Linked DNA regions of Cricetulus griseus. The protein of the gene in region 3 interacts with the protein of the main gene of each other region in a pairwise test. Links are inferred from orthologs where the notes say so. Each region holds a gene or a part of one and is shown on either strand. Other genes may lie near its edges.

The links. The genes of interacting proteins can lie anywhere in the genome.
Region 1: the proteins of Kash5 (region 3) and Jagn1 interact in binary tests that used the Homo sapiens proteins (3 or more experiments, as listed by UniProt). The two-hybrid records come from large-scale screens. The link is inferred for Cricetulus griseus from reciprocal best matches to the Homo sapiens genes KASH5 and JAGN1.
Region 2: the proteins of Kash5 (region 3) and Stx5 interact in binary tests that used the Homo sapiens proteins (3 or more experiments, as listed by UniProt). The two-hybrid records come from large-scale screens. The link is inferred for Cricetulus griseus from reciprocal best matches to the Homo sapiens genes KASH5 and STX5.

What each region holds. Positions count from the first base shown.
Region 1 is NC_048601.1:31,352,355-31,356,524, forward strand, and holds the start of Jagn1 (protein jagunal homolog 1), read right to left. Parts: upstream 2,801-4,170; 5' UTR 2,667-2,800; coding exon 2,578-2,666; exon of another isoform or gene 2,576-2,577; coding exon of another isoform or gene 2,571-2,575; intron 51-2,570; coding exon 1-50. UniProt on the Homo sapiens protein: Endoplasmic reticulum transmembrane protein involved in vesicle-mediated transport, which is required for neutrophil function.
Region 2 is NC_048596.1:51,355,579-51,359,589, reverse strand, and holds the start of Stx5 (syntaxin-5), read left to right. Parts: upstream 1-1,211; 5' UTR 1,212-1,357; intron 1,358-1,524; exon of another isoform or gene 1,525-2,033; 5' UTR 2,034-2,055; coding exon 2,056-2,280; intron 2,281-2,623; coding exon 2,624-2,694; intron 2,695-2,855; coding exon 2,856-2,911; intron 2,912-3,129; coding exon 3,130-3,200; intron 3,201-4,011. Other genes in the region: Wdr74 (WD repeat-containing protein 74), read left to right, coding at 152-328; testis-expressed protein 54-like, read left to right, coding at 525-603, 734-945. UniProt on the Homo sapiens protein: Mediates endoplasmic reticulum to Golgi transport.
Region 3 is NC_048599.1:154,093,337-154,097,399, forward strand, and holds the start of Kash5 (protein KASH5), read right to left. Parts: upstream 2,801-4,063; 5' UTR 2,723-2,800; coding exon 2,680-2,722; intron 1-2,679. UniProt on the Homo sapiens protein: As a component of the LINC (LInker of Nucleoskeleton and Cytoskeleton) complex, involved in the connection between the nuclear lamina and the cytoskeleton.

The DNA.
Region 1 (4,170 bases), on a different chromosome or scaffold from region 3:
TGACCAGATGTACGTAGATCAGCTTCTTGATTTCACTCTTGAGCGTCACACTGTAAGGCAGAGCAGAGGGAGAAGCAATTTTCATTTAAATTGCTCCGACCACCAGGCACCGGTACTGGACACATAGATACAATCTGAATGACACAGCCTCTGATAGAGGCTGGGAAACATGAAGTATAAAACTCAAGTAAATACATATAAACCGAAGATATCCGCTATCCCAGGGAAGAACCAATTAGCATGAGATGGAAAGCCAGAGAAGGTTATATCTAGAGGAGAGAGCTATTTCAGCAGAGGTAATGAGACGAGTGGAAGTGGGCTTCTACGCAGAGGCAAAAACATGCAGGCACAAAGGAATAAGCTTTTTAGTATTTGTGTTTCAGGAAATCAACTGCCAAGGCACAGAGAGGTAGTAACAGTTACAAAGACCATGCATGTGTAGACTTCAAGACTGAAGAACAGTAATGGCACCTGGGAGGCTGAGGCAGAGGATCTCTGATTGGAGGTTGGCCTGGACAACGTACTAAGACATTATCTCACCAAGCCATGACAAGAATTCTGAGCTGTGGTTAGAAAGATGGCTTCGTATCACAGAAACAAAGGCCATTAGGGGGAGGCCTAGCAACAAGGAACACAGTTTGGGCTCCCTGTATTTCTCCAGATATAGTTTCCATGAGAAGGAGGCACATCTCTTAGTCCTGATCTTCTCGGGGTCTCAATTATATCCTTTTCATATTGTCACAAGCAAGGTGTCTGCTCTAGGTACGCATGAAAACAAGAGCATCCATTAGGCAGGGGCCTAAAGTTGAAAAAGAAGGGTCCAAAGGGCTTGTCATCCTTCTGTACAGAAAGAGGCCAAGAACCAGTTGAATAATTCAGTGGATTTAAGGGGAAAATTAATTTGTTATAGGAAATGTGGGAGGTAAGGAGAAAAGAATCACTTCTGGCACTCAAGCTCCTTGAAGGCAGGACCCAGATTGGCTTTTCTTTCTTTTTAAAAATTTATCTCATGTGTATGTGTGTGCACCACGCACACGCCTGTGCTGTCGGGAAGCCAGAGGGCATCGGAACCCCTGGAACCGGAGTTGCAGGTGTTTGGTTGTGAGCCTCCTGATGTCGGTGCTGGGAACTGAGTTTAGACCCTCTCCAAGAACAGCAAGTGCTCTTAACAGCTAAGCCAATGTGGGGGTCTCTTCAACCACCACAGCCAGCAGAGTTAACAATCTGCAGGAGGCAAGGTAGTTGTGTGGGTTCAACACAACTCAGTACCTGGTGTTGGTTTAAACTTCAAGAGTCTGACCCCAAGTATTTTACTTTAGGCATATTTAAGTACAGCACAATTTGATGAAAAATTCCCTGGTGGTAATTAATTTCATCTTGTGTGACAACAAAGCTTAAGACATGACTACATCAAAACTCTTTGTAAAGTACACATGACATCTTCCTAAAGACAGGGTCAACAGGGCGGCTGTGGTGTACACCTTTAATCCTTGCACTTGGCAGCAGAGGCAGGCAGATCTCTGATTTCTAGTCTGGTCTACAGAGCAAGTTCCAAGACAGCCTGGGGACTGGAGAGATGGCTCAGTGGTTAAGAGCACCTGCCGCTCCTGGAGGCTAGCATGGACCCCATACCAAGCCGCTATCTCACAAAATCACTTCGGGGTTTGGTCCTCAGTACTAGTCTCAGGTGGATTTAAACACGTCTGTAACTATAGCTCCAAGAGATCCAACACCCTTTACTGGCACTGCATTCTGCCAGCACACCTGCTCTCGTGTGGGCAAACTTACACACACACAAACACACACGCGCGCGCACACACACACACACACACACACACACACCACACCCTTTACTGGCACTGCATTCTGCCAGCACACCTGCTCTCGTGTGGGCAAACTTACACACACACAAACACACACGCGCGCGCACACACACACACACACACACACACACACACACACACACACACACACACACACACACACACACACACACACACCCTTTACTGGCACTGCATTCTGCCAGCACACCTGCTCTCGTGTGGGCAAACTTACACACACACAAACACACGCGCGCGCACACACACACACACACACACACACACACGCAGTTTTCTTTAAGAATGTTAGTTTTCAGACCACACACACACACACACACACACACACACACACACACACACGCACGCAGTTTTCTTTAAGAATGTTAGTTTTCAGACCAGGCGCATACTCGGGAGGCTGAGGAGGGAAGGCCGTGAGTTCCAGGCCAGCCTGAACTCTAGACACTGCGGGACCTCGATTTGAAAAAAGAAAAATGATGTCTCCAAGGTCATTCAGAGGGGCTGAGCATCGACCCCTGAGCCTCTGCAGGCCAGATCCCCTCAAAGCACGAGGCGGGCGAGGGCAGGCCACTGGGCTTCCCGGCCTGTAAACAGACCCGAGGCGCTCGCCGGAGCCGGGGACCCGGTAGTACGCGACAGCTGGCTGGGGGAGCGGCACCGTGAGGCTCGCCCGCGTCGCTTCCCGAGACCCGCAGGCTCCTCCCGGGGAAGGCCTCAGTGCTCCTGGCTCACCTCATACCTCATCTGGTAGTGCATGGCGACGCGCTCCCGGTGCTGAAAGTCGCTGCCGTCGGTGCCGGCCGCTCGCGGGCCTGCCCGAGACGCCATCGTTCAGAACCAAAGCCCAGGCCGCTCACGCCGACCCTCCGGCTCACCCACCACGCCAAGCCCCGAGCGGAGCCCTTCCTCGGGGCTCAGTAGGCTTCCAGCACCCGGCGTGCAGCTCCGCGAGCACTTCCGGCCTCTCTATCCCGGGAGGACCGACTCTGTGGTTTCTCCTCCGCGCGTGCGTTCTTGGTCTTTCTGGCCAGCCTTACCGCTCCTGGAGTAGGGCGACTGAGGAATTAATTTAGTCCCTAGAGTTAGCACTTTTACTTGATTACAAGACATTTTAAAAATTAGTTATTTCTTTGTGTATGCGTGTTGTGTCTGTTTTGTAACTATGAGCACCACGTGTGTTCCTTGTGCCAGGAGAGGCTGGAAGAGGGTGTAAGATAGACTGTTGTTAGCTACTGTGCGAGCGCTGGGATGCAAACTCTTCTGGTCTCTTAACCACCGAGCCATCTCTCTAGACCCTAAGTTCTTAACTGCATGTCTATCTAGACTTGGCATCTTTGACTAATTGCCCAGTGGCTGGTTGCATGCGCGCTTAACACTTTGTTGTTGTTGTTGTTTTGTTGGTTTTATTTTGTTTTGCTTTTCAAGACAGTGTTTCTCTGTGTTAACAGCCCTGGCTGTCCTGAACTCGCTCTGTAGTCTAGTCTGGCCTTGAACTCACAGAGATCCTCTGCTGCCTCTGCCTCCCGAGTGCTGGGATTAAAGGCGCGCGCCACCAATACCAGACACCCTTACACTTCTTACAGCTCCACACAACCTTGGGGTCAGGGTCCAGAGCAAAGATGTCATGCTCCTGAAAATGCAGTGCCAAGCAAGAGGCGTCACCCAAAGGCTGAGGCAGCACAGAGGCAGCCTTCCCCATTTCAATGCTATGTATCCATAGTGGCAGGATCTGAACTGAGACCCTGGGGCCTTGAGGGCCAACTGGGAACAAAGATGGTGGCGAACGTTTGTAATCTCGTCACTCACTCAAAAGGTAGAGGCAGGAGGATGAGGAATTCATGAGGTGTTATGTCAGGAGTTAAGAGGCCGAACTAGGCTATGTGGGACCTATGTGTCTTTAAAGGGGGGAGGTGGTGCTGGAGAGATGGCCCAGTGTTTAAAAGCACCTGCTCTTCTTGCAAAGGATCCAGGTTGTTTGGTTGAGACAGGGTCTCACTATGTCCTGGAATTCTCTATGTAGACCAGCCTTGAACTCACAGAGTGTTTGTCACCACTCAGGGCGTGTATATATCTGCATACCAGATGTATGCCTGGTACCAGATGAGGCCCAGACAGGGTGCAGAATCCTCTGAAGCCGGAGTTCTTGTTCTGAGCTACCATGTGGGCTCTGGGAATCAAAACTGGGTCCTCTGCAAGAACAAGCACCCTTAGCCACTGATCCCTCTTCAACCCTCTGGGGTTTGGGGATTAAGGCCCACTTGGCAGCTCATCATGCACTGAAACTCCAATTCCAGAGTCTCTGGCACCCTCTTCTGGTCTAGGTGAGTACTAC
Region 2 (4,011 bases), on a different chromosome or scaffold from region 3:
TCTACCCTGTATAGCCTTATTGCTGAGGGTGAGGGACTCCAGAACACAACTGCACTGGTTTCTAGGTCAAAGTAGTGGTGTCCAGAGAAATTATTTTTCTGCCAATCTCTTTCCTTGTCCCTGATTCCTGAGTTTCTTTCTCACTCATCAGGATGAGCCCCAAGAACCTCAAGAGCCCAACATGGTACCCCCAGAAGACACAGAGACAGATGAACTTTGGGCATCTTTGGAGGCAAATGCCAAGCGGAAGCTCCCTGATTTAAATCAGATACAAGGGACTCTCCAAACAAGAAAAAAAAAGAAGCGGCCTGGATCCTCCAGTCCTTGAAGACTTTTGCTATTTTGTTAATAAACAGCCCAACACACACAGAGACCCTGAACCTTTTGTGATGGGAGAAAGGAGAGGTGGCTTGTGGGTGGGAGGGGTTCCCTCACCCGGGCTGTGGGAGACCTGACGTCACAAAAGCTGGGTCCAGAGCTAAGCAGGCTGGGGAGGGTGGCAGAGTCCTGCGCCTCTCGGGGCCATGGGCTGCTGTCAAGACAAGGACCATCAGACCTCTGATGAGCATGCAAGGGAGGAAGTGACCGACGAAGGTAGGCAAGGTAGGCCCAGATTCAAAAAAGGGTCAGGGAGCTGGATTGGGAATGGGAGTGGGAGGTGCCCAGAATGGACGGCCTAAAGAGACTGGACTAGAGAGGAGAACTGAACTAAGTGGCCTCGTGGCCCTTGCAGACAACGAAGTCAATTTGGACAACGCAGGCCGCCGCAAACAAAGATCTAACGAAAGTCTTCTGATCACCGTGCTGTGGCGCAGGCTATCCATGTTCAGCCGTCGGGGGTCCTCACGGTCAAGCAAGAGGCTCTCAGACCTGACTCAAAAGCAGGAGAGTCAGATCCAGGAGCGCAAACGTGAGGGAAGCCACAAGGAACCAGAAAAGGGCTGACTCCAATCCTGCTCTCGTCCTCCCCAACATCCAGAGAATAAAATTAATATTGTGGATCTGCCGAAAACATGCCTCTGCCTCCACATCTGTAGGCGCCGAGGCGCTGGCTCTTTAAGACTCCTCTGGCCCAGCCCTCTGGGATCTGTTTCTGCTCTTCAGGGGCGGGGCCACAGCGGCAGTTTAACCAATAGGAGAGCGGAGTCGAGCATGCAAGGGCAGAGGTGTGTTCTTCCTGTCTCTGGGCTTAAAAAAATAGGCGTGGCGCGGCATCACGTCACGGGGGTGGGGTTACGTGTGGGTGACGTGGCGGCTCCTGCTCTTTGCTCCGATTTGGGTGGCTTACAAGTCCAGCGAGGAGGCGGCGACGGCCTGGAGAGAGTGGCAGTGGCGGCGGCGGTAGGCAACAGAGGAGGTAGGGCTTCGTTGGGGTAGGGGGCCAGTTTCTGTCGGTCGTCTCAGCTCGGGGGCAGCGGCTTGACGGTGGGGGAGGGGGGAGAAGGGAGCCATGGGCAAGCCCTGCTGGCGGCTCCGCGTAAGCGAATACCTTGCTGTCCAATCAGGAAAGGCCTTGTTGAGAAAGACGCCGGCCCTGTCCAATCAGTGGCTGCAGTCTTCCAACAGGCGGAACTTTGATGGAGGTGGGACTTCCTGTTTCAAATAAACACTTAAAGAGGTTTTCCCCCCCTCCGCCCACCGAAGTGTGTCCACCTTTGGAGGTCGGTTGCCGTTTTTCCGTGAGGGAGTTAAGGAAGTCACGTATACCAGAGGGCACGATTAAGATCTGGGCCAACTGCAAAGGTCTGGCTGGAGGCTCAGGGCCGCAGGACCAGGCTTTGGCTGTTTTCTCGACTTTAGGGCCCCAGCCGGTGCTTTGGCCGTCAGAGCCAAGTTGGAAGGAGATTCTGAGGAGGCTTCGCCTTGGGCCTGGAGGAAGCTGACCCTTCTCGCCGTGGCCGGGCTGCAAGATCTACGGGTGGCCTTGGGCTCGAAAGCCTGTCAAATACGGGAAAGGGCCTGAGGATTTGCTAGTTGAGGGGAAAGCTTTGGGGAACGAGGCTGTCTGGAGAATGACATTCTCCTCTCCACAGCAGTCCGAGGTTATGCGACTCGATGATCCCGCGGAAACGCTACGGATCTAAGAACACAGATCAGGGTGTCTACCTGGGTCTCTCAAAGACACAGGTTCTGTCCCCTGCAACTGCTGTCAGTAGCAGCAGCGACATCACTCCTTTGCCCACCCCGGTGGCCCTGGTCCCTTCCCCTCCCGACACCATGTCCTGCCGGGATCGGACCCAGGAGTTCCTGTCTGCCTGTAAGTCGCTGCAGAGCCGTCAGGTAAGGACCTGGAGTGGAAAGGCAGGTGTGAGCCTAATTAATGCTTACGTTTTGTCTGCTAGTTGTCTAAATTTACTTTACAACAAAGATTAGCGAATCTTACCAATAGGAGTGGAGGAATTGTCTTCAGCAGGGATTAAGAAAAGATTAAATACCACGAACGATGAGTCAAGATTTAAACCTACATATAATTTTTTTTTCTTAGCTATAAACCACTGATAAATTTAGATTGTCTGATGCCAACAGCACTGGAGTGTTTAGTGGATATGTGAGGGAGCAGTGAAAAGCTGAGCATGAATAGTGAAGAGAACTAAAGTATCCACTTTTTGACATTACCTTTCAGAATGGAATCCAAACAAATAAACCAGCTCTACGGGCTGCCAGACAACGCAGTGAATTTACCCTTATGGCCAAGTGAGTTAAGAGAGTCTTTGGGGGGGGGTGGTAATACAATGTCTAGGAAGTTAATTTGCCTGTGTTGGTTAGGCTGAATGGGATTGGTTGTGTTGGAGCTTATGGGAATTAGCCTCTTTCCTGCCCTTTACCACAGCCTTCTCACTGATGATCATTTGCAGGCGCATTGGAAAAGATCTCAGCAATACATTTGCCAAGCTGGAGAAGCTAACAATCTGTGAGTGTTTGGTAGATCTTTCCTAGATGGGACAGTGAAACATAGTACTAGGAAGTGAGGATCGTGCAGTTTTTGTTTTATTTTCTCCTATGGTGCTGGGGATTTTAAACTAGGACTTTGTGCATTAAAGCAAGTGCCTCTACCACTGAACTGTATTCTTAGCCCTTTGAGCCTTGTTATTACCATCACCTGTTGTAACACTTCATCTGTCTCTGCAGTGGCAAAGCGCAAGTCCCTCTTTGATGATAAAGCAGTAGAAATTGAGGAGCTAACATACATCATCAAACAGGTGAGCTGCTAGCCATCAGGAGAGCCCAGCATTCTAATTAGATTACTTCCATCATTTTCCATCGCCATGAATCCCCAGGGTAAGTATCTAGACCCATGTCCAAACACCCTGCTCCTCCACTGAGTCCATAGACACTTAGGATCATCTAGCATTTGTAAAGTACTGTTCTGTATGCTGATGGAACAAATGAGAAGCAAGATTATTGTCTTTAAGGGTTCATTCTTCTTAAGAGTTACCCAGCATCAGGAGCCTAGGCTTAAAATGAGTAAGTGATAGTATAGAAAAGATTTTACAAAAAGATGAATGAAATAGTATGCTGGGAAAGATTGACAGAGGATATGAAATCTGAACTGGATTCGGAGGTTATATAGAGGAAATAGAAGGACTTACCAGTCTGAGGAGTTTATTTACAGAGGTGTTGATTAGAAAAGGGGGAAGGTCAGCTGAGAGTAGTGATGAACACCTTTAATCCCAGCACTCTGGAGGCAAAGGCAGGCAGATCTCTGAGTTCTAGGCCAGCCTGGTCCACAGAGTGAGCTCCAGGACAGCCAGAGTTGTAAGTTTATTCTCTATAATTACCTTACGTTTGTTTGATTTCATTCCCTGTATCCTTTCTACTTTTCTAAAAGAGAAGGAAAAAACAAAGGGGCAGGGCAAAAGATTTGCAGATACCTCAGGAGCAGGTTCTTTGTTTTGGTTTCAAGACTCTAGATATATAGCCCAGTCTGGTATTTTTGTTTAAGTCAGGGTTTCTCTGTATATCCCTGGCTGTTCTGGAACTTGCTGTATAGACTAGGTTAGTCTTGAACTT
Region 3 (4,063 bases):
CATAACTACAGGCACTCATGGATCATCAGAACCACAGCAGCTGCTATTCCTAAAGATGAGTCTGAGGCAGAGCAACAGAAGCTGCCACAGTTGCCTTCCAGCACAAGAATCCCCTTTCTCCCCCTGACACTTCAGGACTCATTGCACCAGTTTGATTTGGACCTTTTCTGGCTCCCATGGGAGGGCTCTAGGAGCCCAGGATAGTTAGGGGAGGTGGACTTCAGCTGGTCTACTGCTCTTCATCATCCAGTGTAACAAAGGAGGACTCTGTGGCCCAGTGAGGACACTGATACATAGAGACACTACCCTAAGACACTCTTTCTGCCCTCTCCTTCCTCCTCCACTTCACAGCTCTGCCCCTGCTTCTATCTTTTTTTTTTTTCTGAAAAGTTTTTTCTGTGTAGCCCTGGCTGTCCTGGAACTAACTACTATAGACCAGGCTGGCCTTGAACTCACAGAGACCCACCTGCCTCTGCCTCTGCCTCTGCTGGACTATAGACCAGGCTGGCCTTGAACTCACAGAGACCCACCTGCCTCTGCCTCTGCCTCTGCTGGACTATAGACCAGGCTGGCCTTGAACTCACAGAGACCCACCTGCCTCTGCCTCTGCCTCTGCTGGACTATAGACCAGGCTGGCCTTGAACTCACAGAGACCCACCTGCCTCTGCCTCTGCCTCTGCTGGACTATAGACCAGGCTGGCCTTGAACTCACAGAGACCCACCTGCCTCTGCCTCGGCCTCTGCTGGGTCCCCAGCTCTACTTCTTTTGAGATATTTCTTCCACTTCTTCCCCAACCTCTCTCACATGTCCAGCTTCTGTCCTGTGTCCCTCCATCCTGTTTTCTCCTGTCTTCCATCTTGTTACTCTGTTCCTAGTGCCTTCTCTCTACTTTGCCATCTCTGTCTTTTATCCCTTGCTTTTCCTGTGGCTGAGTTATTCCCTTCCCAAAGGCAGTCTCAGGAATTGACTTGGCTATGGTCCTAGTTCCTGGTGGCTGCACGCCCTCTGCTGGTGCAGGCGAGGTTTAGATGGCGGTCATTCCCCGTAAGCCAGGCAGCCCTCTCTCTAGTCCTGGCATGCTGGTCTGCCTGAAAACCCTCCTATTTGCAGAGGTTACTCCTGAGGCTGATGTGCAAATCTCAGCTTTGAGCAAAGCTGCAGGCCTGCCTGTAAACATCCAGGAGCCTGGAAGACAAGATACTCCAGCAGTGACCCCAACTGACTATCTAGAGGAAAGAGCTTCTTAATCAGAGGCTGGCTTTCCCTTCTAGCTCATCCTCAGGGGATGGAGAGTCAGAAATCAGAGATGAGGTGAGGGGGGAGACCAGGACAGTAGAGGAAGGAGAGAGCTTCTTGGGGAACAGAGTTGCTGAGTCAGGGCAGAGACAAAGATAGGCAGGAAAGAGAACAGGAGTGAGAGACAGAGACAGAGGCTGGCCCACAGAAGACAGTCGGTTAGCCAGCACCTTCCTCCCTGAGCTGATGTGTGCTGGCTCCCACACCTACGTATCTGAATCTGCCCACAAGGCACTGAGCTTCCACAATGAAGCCGGCATTGCTCTGGCTAGCAGCACCAGTCGGCACAGGCTGCCTGCACTTGAGCAGGCCAAGATGGAACAGTGTTAGTGTGAAACATCACATACTAGTTCTCAAAGATGTCGGAAAACAGGAGTAACTCAGCATGTTCTTATGCTGCTTAATGCAGAAAACAGTTTATATGCATACAAAGCTAAATAAAATCAGTTAATACCATTTGCATCACCTGCTTGATTTGGCCTTTAACTTTCTATCTTCTTGCCTCAGCCCCTCAGTTCCAGGACTACAGATATGAGCCCCTTGCCAGCTTTTCTCTTTTAAAAAAATTAAAAGTTATATATGTGAGCTGAGCATGGTGGAGAGCATGCTTGTAATCTCAACACTTGAGAAACAGAGGTAGAGGGGTGAAAAGTTCAAAGCCAGATTTTGTCTCAAAAAACCAAAAACCCAGAGGTCAGCACAGCTGAACATAGCTCAGTGGTGATTGGTTGCCTAGCACACACAAAACCCTGGATTTCACCTCCTGCACTGTAAGACACACACACACACACACACACACACACACACACACACACACACACACACACACACACACACACACACACACACACACACACACACACACACACACACACACACACACACACACACACACACACACACACACACACACACACACACACACACACACACACACACACACACACACACACACACACACACACACACACACACACACACACACACACTGGGAGTAGAATAGGTTTTGAGGAGCCATGCTCCAGGGGAGAGTCTTAGACTAAGTAGGTGACAGACAGATGCCAGTGTTGGGAAGAGAAGTGCAGCAGGAAGAGACGGGGCAGGGAACCTGTTTTACCCCAAGTAAGAGATCTCACTAGCCCACGATCTGAACAGAGGAGGAATTGGTGGGAAGAGGTGGGATGGTGTGGATATTACCATGTGCACAGCCTTCTGTCCCCAATAGCCCTCCAGAGAGGAGCAAATGGGGACAGACACGTGGCAAGCACACAATCGACACTTCTCCCACCATCCTTTGCTTCTGACCACGCTGCCTGGCCACCTCTCCTGCTCCCACACTGGCCCGCAGCTCCCACTTCCTCCTCTTCCAGGCAGACACCTACTTTGTGCAGTGGAACTACTAGCCGGGTCCTCTGGCAGGTCCATGGACCACTCCTGTTTCTCTGTTGCAGCTGGTGAAGCTCTCACCCTTCCTCCACTGATAGGAGGGTTGGGAAAGGAACAGCCTGCCCAGACAGCTCCTAGAAGGACAAGCAAAGTAATGGCTTCCTCAGACTAGCCACCGCTAAACTGCTCCATCTCTGCCCCAGGGTTCTCAGAACCTGTTTGCCATGCCCATCCCAACTCCAACCTGTTGCTATGGATTTGAGGTATGGGATGGGGAGCAGGCGGCAAGATCAAAGCAGGAGACAAGAGGGTGGGGTCAACTGCTGCCCCTAGGGCTTGTGGCCACCTCTCTCCCCTGTAACCTAGCAAGTCATCATGCCTGTCCTAGAGACTCCACTTTGTGCTCCTCTTGCCGTCCTCAATCTTGCCTTGGGTCCTTGTTCTCCCTGGGCCCACGTCCCAGCCTCCTTCCAGGCTCCAGTGCATCCCCACAGGCTGCAGAGCTGATCTGCCTGGCCATGGTTCCCCATCACCTTGAGGCAGAGCCTGCTTTTTTCTGGCAACAGAGGCACAGTGTGGCCTGGGCCAGCTGCTTTCTCTCCAAATCATGCTCTATCTTCTAGCAACTCTAACCCACTACTCCTACTGTGGTCTCTGCCTGGGACTTGCCTTGCCTTTGTGTCTTGTTATCTAGAAACAGCTTTCACTCTGCCTGGGACTGAATACCAAGCTGAACTGGCTCCCACACTGCCTGGAGACTGCCCATTTTATCCCGAATTTGGACTGCTGGCCGTCTGAACCACTTTCAGCCTTGCTCTCCCTGCCTCCACACTCGTTTGTCACTGAGCCACACTGTCAATAATCTTTCACTGGTGGATTCTAGGCAAGTGCTCTCCTGCTGAACCACACACCAGCCCCACTAGTCAATTCCAGATAGACACTTTACTGCCAAGCTACAGCCCAGCCTTTTCATTTTGAGACAAAACGTCCCTAATATGGCCAGCTTGGCCTTGAATTTGTCATCTCTTTGCCTCATCAGGAAGCTGATTCATCAGGACTGCTTTCTTGCCTTTCTCCCCCTTTAGGTTTATTTTTATTTTTTATTCGAGTGTTTTGTCTACATGTGTATGAACCACATGTGTGTCTGATATCTTTGGAGGCCAGAGGGCATCAGATTTCCTAGAACTGGAGTTACAGATGGTTATGAGTTGCCACATGGGTGCTGGGATTTTCAAGAGTACTGTTTCAGCCTTTGTTTTTTAAAACAAAACAAGGTCCCCCTCTGTAGCCCTCACTGGCCTGGAACTTGCCATGAAGACTAGCCCAACTTTGAACTCAGAGATCCACCTGCTTCAGAGTGCTGGATTAAAGACTTGAGCC